Danio rerio: one gene and its partner. The protein of the gene in region 2 purifies or fractionates together with the protein of the main gene of each other region. This does not show direct contact. Links are inferred from orthologs where the notes say so. Each region holds a gene or a part of one and is shown on either strand. Other genes may lie near its edges.

Evidence for each region.
Region 1: the proteins of nelfa (region 2) and nelfe purify together in Homo sapiens (affinity purification with mass spectrometry; 9 studies listed by BioGRID and IntAct, counting the BioPlex papers as one, with this or other methods). This does not show direct contact. The link is inferred for Danio rerio from reciprocal best matches to the Homo sapiens genes NELFA and NELFE.

What each region holds. Positions count from the first base shown.
Region 1 is NC_133194.1:29,342,526-29,350,058, forward strand, and holds the end of nelfe (negative elongation factor E), read left to right. Parts: intron 1-1,882; coding exon 1,883-1,920; intron 1,921-2,010; coding exon 2,011-2,270; intron 2,271-2,413; coding exon 2,414-2,558; intron 2,559-3,480; coding exon 3,481-3,535; intron 3,536-5,041; coding exon 5,042-5,144; intron 5,145-5,253; coding exon 5,254-5,327; 3' UTR 5,328-5,511; downstream 5,512-7,533. UniProt on the Homo sapiens protein: Essential component of the NELF complex, a complex that negatively regulates the elongation of transcription by RNA polymerase II.
Region 2 is NC_133182.1:24,476,171-24,484,931, reverse strand, and holds the start of nelfa (negative elongation factor A), read right to left. Parts: upstream 5,619-8,761; 5' UTR 5,548-5,618; coding exon 5,338-5,547; intron 3,020-5,337; coding exon 2,848-3,019; intron 1,083-2,847; coding exon 921-1,082; intron 768-920; coding exon 678-767; intron 1-677. Other genes in the region: nicol1 (NELL2-interacting cell ontogeny regulator 1 precursor), read left to right, coding at 8,392-8,488. UniProt on the Homo sapiens protein: Essential component of the NELF complex, a complex that negatively regulates the elongation of transcription by RNA polymerase II.

The DNA of each region.
Region 1 (7,533 bases), on a different chromosome or scaffold from region 2:
TTCTGCAGTAAACCTGCATTGGCGGAGTGATATTATGCAGCGCATGAGAATCGGTTACCTTGAAACCATGGATACGCGAGAGATGCACTTTCGATCAGATAACACAGATTTTGTATGATTTGGTGTACTCAACCAACAAACCTACCTTTTCAATTAATTGAATTACAGTTAATAGGCCTTATAAACAAATCATTTCACAATTCAATCAATTATGCTAAGCAAATAGTGACCCTGCTAGAACAAGAAATCGGCTGAATGGATTCAAAAATGGTTCACGTCAACTGTTTAACTCTAGAAGACTTGTAAAATGTTAAAGTGGAGTGTTCCTTTAATACTGAATGAAACACTGACATGTTTTCTCCTTGAATACGGTTGAAACCAGAAGTTTACATACACTGTATAAAAAGGCACATGACCATTCAAAAAAAAAAAGTCAGATGTTAATTTGGCTAAACGTTTTCTCTTTTAGGTAAAAGAAATCAAATTTGTTTTTGTTATTCTTAATGGCAGAATAATGAGAGAAATATTTTTTGATAAATTGATACAACTTTTCTTGAAAGTCAAGTTTACATACAATAAGATTATTATGCCTCTGAAAAAGCTCAGACGATGGCGTCAAGGTTTTGGAAAATTCTGATTGGCTAATTGACAACATTTGAGTTAATTGGAGGCACAACTGTAGAAAAGTATTTAAGGAAAACCTCAAACACATTGCTTCCTTGTTTGACAGCATGGAATAATCAACATGCCAGAATCAACAAATAAGCCAGATTACAATTTGCTAAATTATTATTACATTTTTGGAGACATGTCCTGTGGTCTGATGGAACTAAGATTGAACTGTTTGGTCATAATGACCAGTGTTACATTTGGGGGACAAAGGGGAAAGCTTACAAGCCTAGGAACACCTTCCCAACTGTGAAGTATGGGGGCGGCAGCATCATGTTGTGGGGCTGTTTTGCTGCAGGAGGGACTGGTCCACTTCACAGCATAGATGGCATCATAAACAAAGAACATTATGTAGAAATACTGAAGCAACATCTTAAGACATCAACCAGGAAATTAAAACTTGGCCACAAATGGGTTTTCCAAACAGATCATGACCCTAATCATACTGCCAAATTAGTTAAAATGTGCTTTAAGGACAAGAGTGAATGTTTTGGAGTGGCCATCACAAAGCCCTGACTCAATCCTATAGAAAATTTTTGGGCAGAGTTGAAAAAGCTTGTGCGAGCAAGACAGCCAACAAATCTGACTTGGTTACACCTATTCTGTCAGGAGGAATGGGCCAAAATTCCTTCAAACTATTTTGAGAAGTGTATAAGGATACCCAAAACATTTGACCAAAGTTATACTGTTTAAAAGCAAAGCTAAAAAATACCAAGGAAATGTATGTAAACTTTTGACTGTCTAGAAATTAATAAAAAAATCTAAAACAAAAAAATTCTCTCATTGTTCTGACATTTAGTAAATGTAAATCATTTAGGTAATCCTAATGGACCTAAAATAGTAAACGTTTAGTATATTTACCATCAGACATTATTTTAAAAAAAAAGGTTATGTTCCTTTTTAGAATATATGTAAACTTCTGGTTTCAACTGTATATTGCATTTAATATATTTTAAAACTTCAGTGTCATGTGATCCTTCAGAAATCCTTCTAATAGGTCTATTTTTATGTAATATTATTTCATAACATTATAGTTTTTACAGTTTGTTATGGTCTTGTTGAGCTTGTTTCCAAAACATAAAAAAATATTATATACATGTATATGTATGCAAATATGTCTACATATGTGCTAAACTAAATATCAATGAAGAAGTCTTTGAAAATATTGAATGGATGTAGTGTCTGTAGACTTGACATGTTTCTCTCTTTGTAGTCCGCTAAACGAATCCACAGGAAATCCCTTTACGAGAGGTGAGACTTAAAATAATACTAATAATTAAACATCTTTATTAAAACAGTGTTGTGGTCAATATTAAAGCTGTTTTTTTAATGATCTCATAGTTTTGTTCCTGGAGATCGATCTCGTGATGAAGAGGCAGGAATGCCAAGTCGAGATTCTGAGCGTGACCGGGAAAGGGAGATGGACTGGGAGAGAGATCGAGAAAGAGACAGAGACAGAGAAAGGGACCGTGAAAGAGGTCGAGAGAGAGAACGGGACCGGGAACGGGAACGAGACAGGAGCCGGGATGGAGAAAGAGATCGAGAGAGGGACCGGGATCGAGACAGAGAACGAGACAGAGAGAGAGATGGACCCTACAGACGTAAGGCAATCTGCGCAATTACAAATGTTCATTCAAAATAATATTAACCCATTCAGTGTTCATATTGTGTCTTTACAATAATAGTAAACCGTAAATCATGCATTTGGCTTTTTTTAAACTTGTTCTGTTGAAAATCTGTTCAGGGTCAGACTCGTATCCAGAGCGCAGAGGTGTGCGCAAAGGAAACACAGTGTATGTGTACGGCACCGGTTTAGTGGAGGACAGCTTGCGCACAGCCTTTGCTCAGCACGGCAACATCATTGACCTTTCAATGGACTCTCCACGCAAGTAAGATTATTTTCTTAAAATGCTGGGCATCTGGAAAGAGACAAACTGATTTCTTAACTGTCTATAGTAAAGTTTAGAAGATTGATTGGTTATGAGTTCCGTTGTAGTCTAAGCATTAGGAAAGTTATTAGAAGTTGAAATGGGGTCATTTTTCAAGTATTTAGGTATGCTACCGTTCACAAGTTTGGGGTTGGTAAAATCTTAAGGTGCTGAATAGTTCTACTATTATTATTCTTCCTGAAATGAAGTCTATGGCAGCACATTGAATTGAACATCTGACAACATTGGGGTCTCTAAGATTAACTCTATAGTGCCACCACTAAAATATTACAATAGTTATTCTGTTTATATTTTCTTAAATTCACCTTTCAGAACTACTTTTAAATACTGTGCTACCTACATGAGAGCTGAAAAATGACTATTCAACAGCTTGTCAGAAAATAAAGGCCAATTTTGACATTGTATTATCTTTTAAACAATAAATATCTTTAAGCTGACAAATTGGCACAACAATTGATCTTGAATGCAATACTTAATGAATTTCAAGTATAGTGCCACCTAGATTTGCAGAGATTTTTTAGCAAAGATGTCGATTTTAACTTTGGAAAACATTGTCCAAGATTAGTTGTACTATTCCATTCCTTGTTTTAATAGGGTTCTGATTTGGGATATTGGATATTTACCTCCTTTTTCAAAAATGTCTTTCTTACTTGGATTACAATCAAACAGGTTTGGGACTAGTGAAGGGAAATAAAGTGATGAGAGAATTTCCATTTATGGGTGAACCGTCCTTTTGTCAAACTTGTTAATATAATAATATTTTTAAAAAACCCTACAGACCCCAGTCTTTTAAAAAAGCAGTGCATGTCTGAGAGAAGCCACAATATTGAACTAATAATTTTTGCCTTCATTCTTTTGCCAGTTGCGCTTTTGTCACCTTTGAGAAGATCGAATCAGCAGACCAGGCTGTGGCGGAGGTCAGTAGTCCACTTTCAGCAGCATCATACTTTTATACTTTAAAGGGCACCTATTTTACCCCTTTTTCAAGAGAAGTCTTTTGTGTCTCCAGAATGTGTCTGTAAAGTTTCTACTCAAAACACCCATCAGGTTATTTATTATATCTTTTTAAATCTGGGAAATTTGAGCTGTTAGGACATTGTAGCTGTTTTTGTTTTGTAGCCTGTCCCTTTATTGCAACTGAGCTAGTTCTCCTCAACTACTGTTACCACGTGCGTGTGCAGGAATAATACCATGGGAGTAGCATTTACCTGCTGCGTCTCACTTAGATAAACAGCACAGTGACAGACAAGAATGAAGCAGATCTCTCTTACTACAGTAAGAACTTTTCCAATGGTTATTTGATGAATTTGTTGTGGAGTTAATTCAAGCCTTTCTGCAACGATGAGTCACACACAATGTCGTTATGAAGTTAACACACACACACACACACACACACACACGCGATTGCTGAGACTTATTTTAGTATGTTGATGTATTTCCATACCCGGTAGGCTTCTTACTGCCACCCGCAAGTTTGTACACGTTATTCCTATCCTGTGCTCCCTAAATTCGTTGCCGATATGCTTTAGAATGGAGTTTAAAAATGTAATATATGATTTTTAGGTTATTAAATGGCCAGCCTCCGACTTATCTCTCTAATCCTAATACTGTTCAAATATCTGGCAGATGTTTAAGGTCCAGAAAATGCTAGTCGCTCCCAGATCCAAATAGATGAAAAAAGGAGATTAAGCTTTCTCTGTAGTAGGTGGGAGAAAATTGATCCTCTTGTACCTATCTGGGGCCGAAATGTACCTATCTGCACGAAGACTTGCGTTGAATTCATACTAAAACATTGCGTACGCACAAAGCTGTAAATGTGTGTACGCAGTAAAAAATTCAGATGTATGAAACAGTGCGTACGCGGAATCCCACGCATATTCTCTTTGTACATCTGAATTAACGTGAAACTGAGCACACATGCACGAACACAAAACCCCTCCCTGCCTCCTCCCCCTAATGAATATGGTAATGACTCTACTTTGGCAAAACCAAACAAAAAAGCAATGGCAAAAGCAAGCAAAAAGAGAACCTTTGAACAGAATGTGAATTGGAGGTGCTTATTTCATCATTAGTAAATCCAAACGTAAGAGTGAAATCTGGCGTATGCAGTTTTTGTGCGAACGCAGCATTGATACATGAGGCCCCTGGTGTCTTCTTTATCGCTGATACTTTGTGGTATGTTGGATGTATTTTATCTGTTGGTCTATTTTTGATAATTTGCTTTTAGGATTGTACAACACAATGGTCAGCAACTGTTGTTTTATTGCACTTTCTAAATAAATAAACTAAACTAGAATAACAATGTATGCTAGCAAAATAGATATGATAAGCTTAGAAATGATTAGGGGTTAAGTGTGTGTGAATAATCATAGGTTGTAGTATCTTTCTTCGTTTGCTGAATGAAAACTCTTTCTGTCTGTCAGCTGAATGGCACCACTGTGGGTGACGTCAACATCAAAGTCAGCATTGCCAGGAAGCAGCCCATGCTGGATGCCGCCACAGGGAAATCTGTCTGGGCTTCTCTTGGTAAATAAGGACATTTCACAGGCGAAAACTGCCAGAGTGTTGCACACTTGACTAACCCTTTTCTATTTCTGTCTCCTTCTACTATCTCCTCCTTATTTATCCTTCACAGCGGTGCAGAACAGTGCCAAGGGCTCGTACAGAGACAAACGGAGCCAGGTCGTCTACAGTGAAGATTTCCTTTAGTTACTTGACATTTGCTTTTGTTTTAAAACGTCGGCGTGAGATTTTGTCTAGGTACAGCAGACATGACTTTCACAGAAGTAAATCCTACTTTTCGGTTATTAATAACGCTCAGTGTGGACATTAAGCCCACTCATGTTTATGTCATTGTGTTCAATAAATCAGTCAATAAAATTTTCCATCAACATGTGCGGGGTGACGCTTCATAATATGTGCAAACACAATCGATTCTGATTGTAAATGTGCAAAAAATCAGTTTTAATGAAACGTCAATAAAGCATACCTTCGGAGGCAGAAATTAAAAGCCAGGCTGAGCTTTGAATTGTTGGGTTTCTGCTGTGTGGATCAAGCTTCTCCCTGCAAAAATCAACAACATTAGATGCTATTGATGAAATGAGCTGTAGTTCAGACACTGCAGTGCTCCAGCATTGCCTAAGGGGAAACAGAATACTGAGAATACAAATGCACAGGCATGCACTGTTACATAAACCATTTGCATACAGAAATAAATAACCTTATATACACACATTACTCTGTAGGCCTGTGTTTTTTTTCCCTATTTCTTGCCCCATAAAATAAGAATTTGTTTGAGAAAGAATATCATATCGGTAACACTTTAGAATAACTATCCGTTATAACTAGTTATTAGACCATTAATAAACTGTTAGTTAACAAGTTATAAATGACTTGTTAAACAAAAGTTAATAGTTTGTTAATTATTTACAACTGTACCTTATAGATGGCTAATAGATAACTTACAAGCCGTTAGTTGACAAGTTGTAAATGGCTTCTTAACTGTGTTTTAATTATTTATAACGTTACCTAATAAATTAGTAATAGATCATGAACAAGCTGTTAGTAAATAACTTAATAAAGGCTTGTTAAGTATCAGTTAATAGTGTATATATGTTATTGGGACGTTATTCTAAAGTTGCAGCTATTCTTCATTTATTAACTGTTAGTAAATGAGGAATAGTTGCAACTTTAGAATAACGTCCCAATAACATGCTTAAGCTAATAACTAACACTTAACTATTATATTTACTCACACTTTACAGATCAGTTGTTCACCCTATAATAACACCAGTGAAACTTTTTTATTAGACCACTGGTGTAATTTTAAATTTTTATTTATTTTGTTTTCATGTTTAGCACTTCATGGGTTTGTATTCTTGCATACTGCTGTACTGCCATGTCATGGTTCAGTATGTGTGTTTCTATACATTAAAGACAACTTTTAACATTTCATCTGTGGAGTTTCTTTGGTAAAACACAGCACACAGAAAAGCCTATAAGTGGAACAAGGTTTAGAAACAAACATTTTATATTTTAAATATTACATCAAATTTCTGTAGCTTGAACTTATTCCATCCATTTGCTGTTCTACAAGGATTCATTGGTATAAGTAGATGGTTAACAAACGATGAACAACTCTCGTCTGTAAAGTGTGAGTAAATATAATAGTTAAGTGTTAGTTATTAGCTTAAGCATGTTATTGGGACGTTATTCTAAAGTTGCAACTATTCCTCATTAACTAACAGTTAATAAATGAAAAATATCTGCAATGTTAGAATAACGTCCCAATAACATATACACACCATAACTGATACTTAACAAGTCTTTATTAAGTAATTTACTAACAGCTTGTTCATGATCTCTTAAAAATTTATTAGGTAACGTTATAAATCATTAAAAAACAGTTAAGAAGTCATTTACAACTTGTCAACTAACGGCTTGTAAGTTATCCCTTGCCCATCTATAAGGCACAGTTGTAAATAATTAACAAACTATTAACTTTTATTTAACAAGTCATTTATAACTTGTTAACTAACAGTTTATTAATGGTCTATTAACTAGTTATAACGGATAGTTATTCTAAAGTGTTACCATCATATCCTTTAATTATTATTATTATTGAATGAATGAAGTGCAACACATTAAAAACAGTCAATCTGTAAAAGTGCGACATTATCTTAGCAGTTTTTCAATGAAAACAAAGTGGTTAATTTACTGTCAGGTATCTTGTAAATGCATACATTCTGACTTTAAAAGTTGGGCTAATTTAAGATAGGGCTGGGCAATTTGGCCTAAAATCAAAATCTTGATAAATTGAACATTTTAACTCGATTACGATGAATGAATGATCATTTTTTCAATTTATTTTTTCCCCTCATAGTTCACTGATTTTTTAATAACGGAAGCGTTATTT
Region 2 (8,761 bases):
CAGTAATTTGTACTCTGAAATGAAGTATTTAATAATACTTACATTTTCAGAAACACTGTAGAGCAACAATATTGTGAAATATTCTAAGAAATGTATTCTGTTTATAATATAATTATTTATAAAAAAAAAAGTCTTTCTCAAACACGCGCAGACACACATGCTCTGGTGCGCAATCTTGAAAACAGATGTGGATTCCATTTTTTCATGATTCTTTGGATAATAATTTTTAAAAAATAAAGTAAAATAATACATAATCATAATAATCATAACATATGTTTAATAATATAATTATAGAATCAAAAATAATATAATTATTTTTAAATGCTGGAATTCACATTAGGAATAGCAAATGCAAAACAAAAACTTGTCATTGTAAATTTATGCAAACTAATGTACTATTCATATTTAATAAATGAAACCTTATCATAAAGTGTTATATTTTATCTATCTATCTATCTATCTATCTATCTATCTATCTATCTATCTATCTATCTATCTATCTATCTATCTATCTATCTATCTATCTATATATATATATATATATATATATATATATATATATATATAAATGAGTTATTATTTAATCCCATCTAATCTTATATGATATAATGTTATTATTAAACTAATTAAAATGAAACATTATTTCCACCCAAACACTGTGTGAACAGAACTCATACTTGTGGTGTCGATCTTCTTCACTAGTCCTCTTCCTTTGGAGTGGAAGGGCACTCCTGCGGTTTTCTTTAACTGTTGGGCGGTCTCTGTGGCTTTAGAGCAAATATCATAAGTATTAAACAATGACCATGGCAATCATCAAAGAAACATCAGGGTAAACTCTTTTATTAAATGACCACAATACATCCATACAGAAAAAAAGAAAACAGAGAGGGTCACCCATTTTTACAGGCACAAACACTTACATTTTTGCAGCAGCTCGGCTCGGAGTGTGGCGCTCTTGGGTTTCCTCTTGAGCTGGAAGTGTTTGATGGGTGGAGTGAGCGGCCCCACCAGCGTGGTCAAAGCACTCTTGTTCAGATACTGACACTCCAGAGGCAACATGGTTGACGCTTCACATTCATTTACTGTGTAGAAATACAACATGTTACAAAAGTACTACATTTTAGTAGGTCTTTTCACTAATAAATTAAAAAAGGTGTTCTAATAAAAAGGATGAATACTAAATGTAATGATGTATTATATAAGCATATTTCTAATTTGAAGGTGCTCTATGTGAGTTTTTGACTCTTCAATCGTAAAAAAGCATATGTTTGCAGATATACAAGAAACATACATGCAAGTACACATAATTGTTTATCTGACTAAAAAGGCTAAAGTCAGTTATTCTCCGAAAAATGTGTGTTCCTTGTCGAAATGTCTGTCTTTGTTTTGGTCTGAGTAACTCCACCCACTGCCAGAATGAAATGAAACTTGCCTCAATGTATGCAGGACAGTAGCAGCCTCCAAAATGAGACACAGATTCAGAGTTATAAAAATCCACATGAGGTGGTTTTTAACTAGCAACTAATATAATATGCTACAAATGTAAACATCAGCAGAGCAGCTTTCAGTGTGAGGATATGTGTGTCATCAATCTGGCAGCATAAACCACGGCGAATGAAGTTCTGCACAAGACTTTTGGCCAGCGGAGAAATTAAAATGGTCGTGCCCTACTGAGTCTGGTTCTCTCAAGGTTTTTTTTTTCTTCACTCCCATCAGGTGAAGTTTTTTTTCCCTCTCCGCTGTCGCCACTGCCTCACATGGTTCAGGATTGGTAGAGCTACGCATCGATGAATTTGCTCTTCAGTGTTTGAACTCTCAGTAATGATTAAATCACACTGAACTGAGCTAAACTGAACTGAACTGAACTTAAACACTAAAACCTGAACCACACTGTTCCAGTTACTGAACCAAACTGTTCCAGTTACTATGACCATTTATGTGAAGCTGCTATGACACAATCTACATTGTAAAAGCGCTATACAAATAAAGCTGAATTGAATTGAACCTGCACGTGCATCGAGTCGTTGAAAAATAAATACCCTCGCCAAATTTAGAATATGAACTGCAATCCTACATACTGCAATTTTTTTAAACATCACTTTTATAAATGTTAACATTAGAATTATGTTATAAATGTATTTAATATTGCTCTTTGCAACCATTTATGGACACAAAACATATTTTTAGATTTTTAGTCTGAGGCAGTAATACAAATATCAAAACTCACTAACAAAGACATCTTTCTGACATCAAACTGAGCAAAATACACAGCCCTAATATCTAGTCAAAGAAGTCAAGGATGGGGAAATATGTGGGCTGTAGACTGTTTTGACCCTCTCCTAATACTGCAATGGGCTATATGTCCACAGACTTTTACTTTTCAGCCAGGCAGCCCAATGACTTCCACTGAACTGTCTTTCCATTACAAAACTGTCATGTTTAAGATCTAATTTCTTTAAAAGTCTGTGATCTTCACTAGCTGCTAAATATACGATATGAAATTGGTCTCTAATCGGACAAGTAGTACTGCATTTAAATTCCATTTCCCCCCACCATGTCTTTAAAATATGAGTCAATCTTACCCCAGTATTTTCAATGGAATTTCTGCGCTGGCCTTTTGCTACTTCTGGCACAAGTGATTACAACAGTCATGTCATTTCACGCTTGAACGACTACATGAATGCTTTAGTCTATTTAACTGAATGTATTGTAATTACATCACAACATTGATGCTGTAAAAACAACCTTGTGAAATTGAAAATAGTCACATTAAGCTTTCACCGGAAGTTTATCATTGGCTTTAAAACCCTGGCTGTGCATAGAGCCCATTACTGATGTCAGACTGACCTTTCTCACGCAGTTCTCCAAGGATGTCCTGTACATTAGGGTTCTGCTCCTCCAGGTCCAGGTTTAGTGAGCCGGTCTCTGGGAATGATTTCAGGATGTCAGCCACCATTAACACCCAGGGCTCAGAGTCCACTGTGGCCAACTGAATGATCTCTGACAGAGCCTCCTTCATCTGAATTATTAGGGAAGAATCAAGAAAATCAGAGACTTAATCTAGCCAGACTGTTCAATGAATCTGCCACTAGTGCACTGACCTCTCTAACAGAAAACACTGCTATGGAAAAACGAGGCCACTTCCTCAGCTAATCTCAGGATGTGTTAGGTCTGGGTAAAAAGTTAATATTTGCTTTTTTCTATTAAAACCTGAAACATTTCTTCAGGAAAAAAGAGCATTCAGACAATTGTTTTTATTTGTTATGATTCAAAGTTATCACAACAAAGTTATGATTTCTCAACTTATCTTAAGTTAAAACATTGGTGATGTGTTGTCTAAAAACAAATAGAAACATGTAAATTATTATTATATGCTAAACATCTAACTGCAAAAAGAAACAAAGCTTAAAACGACCAATTAATTTTAAATTTAGAGGAAATGTCATCAGTAATAATATAGTAAATTTATTTAACACACTTCCCTCCAACACAAAGCTATAGATCCAGAAAACTCATTTCTCAAAACATTATTTAATTTAACTTTGTTTTTACATTATAGAAACTGCAGATTTTCTTTCCTGAGGCCATAAGCAATTGACAGGAATTCAGGCTAATTTAGTGAAACAATGAATATCTTACACTGTTTAAAAATACATAAATAAAGAAGATCAATAAACAAAAATGTCCAGGCAGAAAATGAACAGTACATTTTCAGATGGGGCTGCGTGATTAATCGAAATCAATTTGAAACGTTGCGACTAAATCGCAAGAGGCTGCAATATGAAATATATTTGTATTATTTAATTTCTCCTGCCCCGGGCTTATGCATGACTGCTGTCTGTGTGTGATAGTCTTACCAGCCAATTGAGAGAGCATAATTTGAGTGATGAGTGTCTTGCTGAAAAAAATCAGCTGAAAGTATTGCCAGTGACACTCAATCTAGTAGCAAGCAACAATTTCAGAGTTGTTTTTAGCCATGTTAACTTGCCAAGTGTTCTGTATAGGTGTATACATTCCTCCCTAATTTAAGTTTAACTTGTTTACAGAAAGGTAAGGTCATTTGTGTTTACTGTTTGCTCTAGGAAAAAAAATGACGGTTTCACTTCTGAATAGTTAAAAATACACTTGAATGAATGTTTAAGTTAATATCTTTTCAATAAAAAAATAAAAAATAAAGAGTAGTTGGATATTTTCCCCAAATCGCATGCACACACATTATCTATTTATTATTAGAATATTTTTATTTTTACAGAAATTGGTTGGCAATTTTCTTCCATATGTCAGGGCATTTTTTATAGTAAGTTATGCTACACTATTAAACACAAGACAATTGCATTTTTAATCACTCCATGTATGATTTTTTTAAAAACTTACGGTGGCACAGCAGGTAGCACAATTGCATCACAGTAAAAAGTTCACTGGTTTGAGGCTCGGCTGAGTCAGTCAGCATTTCTGTGTGGAGTTTGCATGTTCTCCCCATGTTTGCGTGAGTTTCCTCCGGGTGCCTCGGTTCCCCCACAGTCCAAAGACATGTGGTATGGGTGAATTGTTAGTTAAATTGTCCTTAGTGTATGCGTGTGATTGTATGTTTCCCAGTACTGGGTTGCAGCTGGAAGGGCATCCACTGCGTAAAACATGCTGTATAAGTTGCCATTTCATTCCGCTGTGACGAGGCTAGATTAATTAAGGCAACAAAAAAAAATTAATGAATGTACTTTGTATATTTCAAACAGCACAATGCAAGTACTATAATCCTTATTTTGTTAAAACCCCTTAAATTTGATTGAACATGGTTTTAACTCTACATAAATGTGTTTCGAGTGTGCACAGACGCTTTCTCATACTCAAAACAAGATTTTTGTCGTCTAAATACGTTTGTCATGCAGTTTACTACGCTGCCACAGTGTTACAGTACTACCACTGACTGTTATGACTGTAGTGTTTAGGCGGAAACTAGTTACTGGAGTACATTTGAAAAGGGGGCGTTTTACTCGTCCAAACAAATGACCAAACTCCATCAGAATAACATTAACTTAAAACAACACTGCCAAAGTTGACTGCACGTTTACATGCATGAAGCTATTAAGTTATGGCAGACCCGGGGACAGACAGCAGCCCGAGCAGAGCTCTGCTGGAGACTGACATGAGAAGACAGCAGCTGCAGGAGACTCATGGTGGAAGCCATGTTATTATTACACATGCAACACAGACGAGCCAGCAGCACACAACTACTAATAAACAACATGCCAACCCGATACAGCGAGCGACAGTCGGAAGTAAAGTCAGAGTGTGAGTGAGCGTGTGTGTGTGTGTGTGTGTGTAGTTCTGCAGTCGCACCTCATCCACGGTCCTGCGCGGGAGGTGCAGCATCCCCAGCAAGAGTTTCAGCTTCACCGGTGGCGAAAGACTGGAAAAACACAGCCGAATATTATCGATGACCGACACGGTGAGAAGGGAAGCGATGCTCGAAGGAGTCCACAGCTCGTCCGTCGATCCGAGTTTGTTGTGGAGCCACAGGCCGGTGTCGCTCTCCCTCATCGACGCCATCTTGGAAAAAGGCGAATAATGAGATCGGGCATTTTAACAGGCTACCTAAGAAAACAGACACACGCGCGCTAGGACCCGTGTGATCGCGAGCAGAGCTCGGAAAACTTTTGCAAACATTAAATGAGTGAGATGCACGTAACAGGTTTTGTATTGCATATCTTCGTTTTGTTTCTGATTTCACGTGTTATGTTTTGGCGTTGTAATGTTTAACTAACGTTAATGTATAATAAAACTACTTATTTTGGCAAACATTTTGTTTACATCTGTTTTATTATCATTATTAATAATACATGGCTTCTGCAGGTTTCACCAAGTTAAATTTAAGACTTTTAAGAGATTTGTAAGACTATTATAAATTAAATTTTAGCCTTATACAAGGATAAATGCTAAGGATTTTAATTGAATATCCCTGTTGTAAAAGATTTTCACTTGCCCTATCAAAAATTATTCATTATAATTTAATAAAATTAATAATAAAGTAATAATTTAATATAAAAATGTAGGCCAGGTCAGTATCTGAATAAATGGAGAACTTTTAAACAAATGTTACTGTAAGGAAAGTAATTAGATGCTATTTTTTAAATGAAAAGTTAAATGATTGGAATTGTTGGTGATAGTATGGGTGTTGATGTCCAGATTGGGTAGCTAAACATGAACAAGGAACAAAAATGAATGATAAAAAAGTCAGACCTACAACTACAACACAATATTTCAGTAAATTTTTAAGGTCTAAAATGTAGCTAGATTTAAAGATTTAAAAAGATTAAGACTCTGTGGATACCCTTTACATAAAACATTAAGCCACAAAACAAACAGCGTAATTTTTGCCCAAGTGTCGTTTTTTTATATATTAAGGTCAATTCATAAAGCACCGATACATGCTAACAGACGTGAACCGTCATGACATGTCACTTCTTAGAATCTACAACCCAACAAGCAACCAATTCAGCATTTTAAATCAGAGAAAAACAAGACTGGTCAGAAACAACAGCCTGTCCAGGCCAGTTTCCTCAGCAGTAAACACATGGGGAACTTTTAAACAAATATTATTATGAGGAAAATAATTAAACCATTATGGTAAATAGAGTTAAAAATGAAATAAAAAAATTAAATATGTAAATGAGATAGATTGTTGATGATTGTATGGGTGTTAATAGCCAGATTGGGTAGCTATACATGAACAAAGGAAAATTAAGACATGTAAAAAATTTACATGATTAAAGATTTAAGACCTACCACAAAATATTTCAGTAGATTTAAGACTTTTTAAGACCTTAAATTTAGCTTTTGAGATTTAAGACATTTTTAGAGTTTTTGAGACCCAGCAGATACCATGTAATAATAACAACAATCAATGCTAATTTTATTATGTGAATAAATGCGGAACATTTGTGTTTTGATATTCTCACTTTGCTTATTAAATTATGTTTCCGACAGTATGTTACACATCTATCTATCTATCTATCTATCTATCTATCTATCTATCTATCTATCTATCTATCTATCTATCTATCTATCTATCTTAGTATTAACATTGTAATGCACCTTCGTTCCGGTGCATATAGTAAACATTATGTGATTATGTATACAAACAGGCTAATGCAACAATCATAAAAATAGGGAAAACAAATATAACAGCTTTGAAATAAACATATATACAGTGCTCAGCATTTATAAGTACACCCCTTATAAAATTCATTTAAGTCTTTAAAATTCATATTTTCTATAGGAAGCTATAAAATATTATATTTGTTTGTATGCATTAGATTAGTCAGCACTGAAGCCAAATCTGGAGCTTATCTAACAAAACAACTTGCAATAACGGTCCAAAAACTAGTACAGCCAAATTTATAAGTTATAGAAAACATTAAATACAAATTTTAAAAAGAGAAAAAAAAAACCAGAGAAGTAACAAAATGGAAAAACTGAGTTTTTTGTAGGTTGCAAATGGTTTTGCAATATTTAGCTTGAATTTGATTGTATGATCTTTCAATATCTAAATATGTTTGGTGACTAAAATACTATTTCAATTAATTTATCTGTTTAATAATTATGTTTGGTTTAAATGCACAAAAATACATTGCCTATATTTACTGAGAAATTGATAAAAATATTAATTTTCAAAATGGGGTGTAACGTTATGCTGATCATTGTATACATTATGCACAACCTGGTAAATATATAACCATCTGGCGAACATACCATAACGTCCCCAATAATATCTGTGTAGCCTTAATTCATTCAACAAAATAAACAAACTTATTAAAACAAATGTTGATGTGAAATCTGTCTAAATCACATTATTAAAAAACAGAACATAGGTGCACTTTCAAAGCGAGGAAGGCTGAAATCCATGTGACCACCTGTAGCCAATGAGAGAGAGAAACGTCAACTGGGCTTCGAAAACATTTGGGACTCAATCCTACGGCGCACCGCGAAGGACAATAATCATAAAAACGCGATTGACGCTCCGCAACGAAACTGCGTCCTGTGAAGGAGGGCGGTGGTTTGACTAACGGTGCCAGTGTCTTCATCAGAAAACTACAGGTAATGCAAATTAGCTTGTTGTTCCACTTTAATTAGCATTAATAATGCACCTTACATTAGAGCTATTTGGTCGTATTTGAAACGGACCATATTTGTTAGCATTATCAAGACAAAGACAAAAATCGACAGGCTCTTTATTTACGTTTGTGCCAGACTGTCATTTTCAAAGCATTTCTCAGTTGTTATTCGCTTTTCTTAAAACGTCGTCTGAATGACTACATGTAATTATTAGCTCATTTGTGTGTGTGTGTGTGTTTTCTCGCTGTGGCAGGTTTATTGTGTGTGTGCGGCGACAGTATGAGGCCAAGCGGAGCTCTGGCGGCGGCGGCGGTGATGCTGATGCTGCTCGTGTGTTGCCAAGCCGAGGACTCAGGCTCGGTCATCCCGGCCGAGAGTAAGCCTCAGTCTGCTTTTTAGACGAGTGGGCAACAGACATGCATCATTTCATGTGTCATCATCGCATCGTATGCCCTGCGCTACGGTGTTTTCCTGGCTCTTGCTCAGCCTTGGTGATGAGGAAGCAATGCAGCCTTGTTGTACTGATTCTAGTTTGTAGTGTAGTCTGGTTTTAGCTTTGAGGGGGTGAATAATAGACTACTAAACAGTTTTTATGGTTTCTCTGTATTTGACATTAAAATAGGTTCATATTTTTTTACTTTGTAAAGTC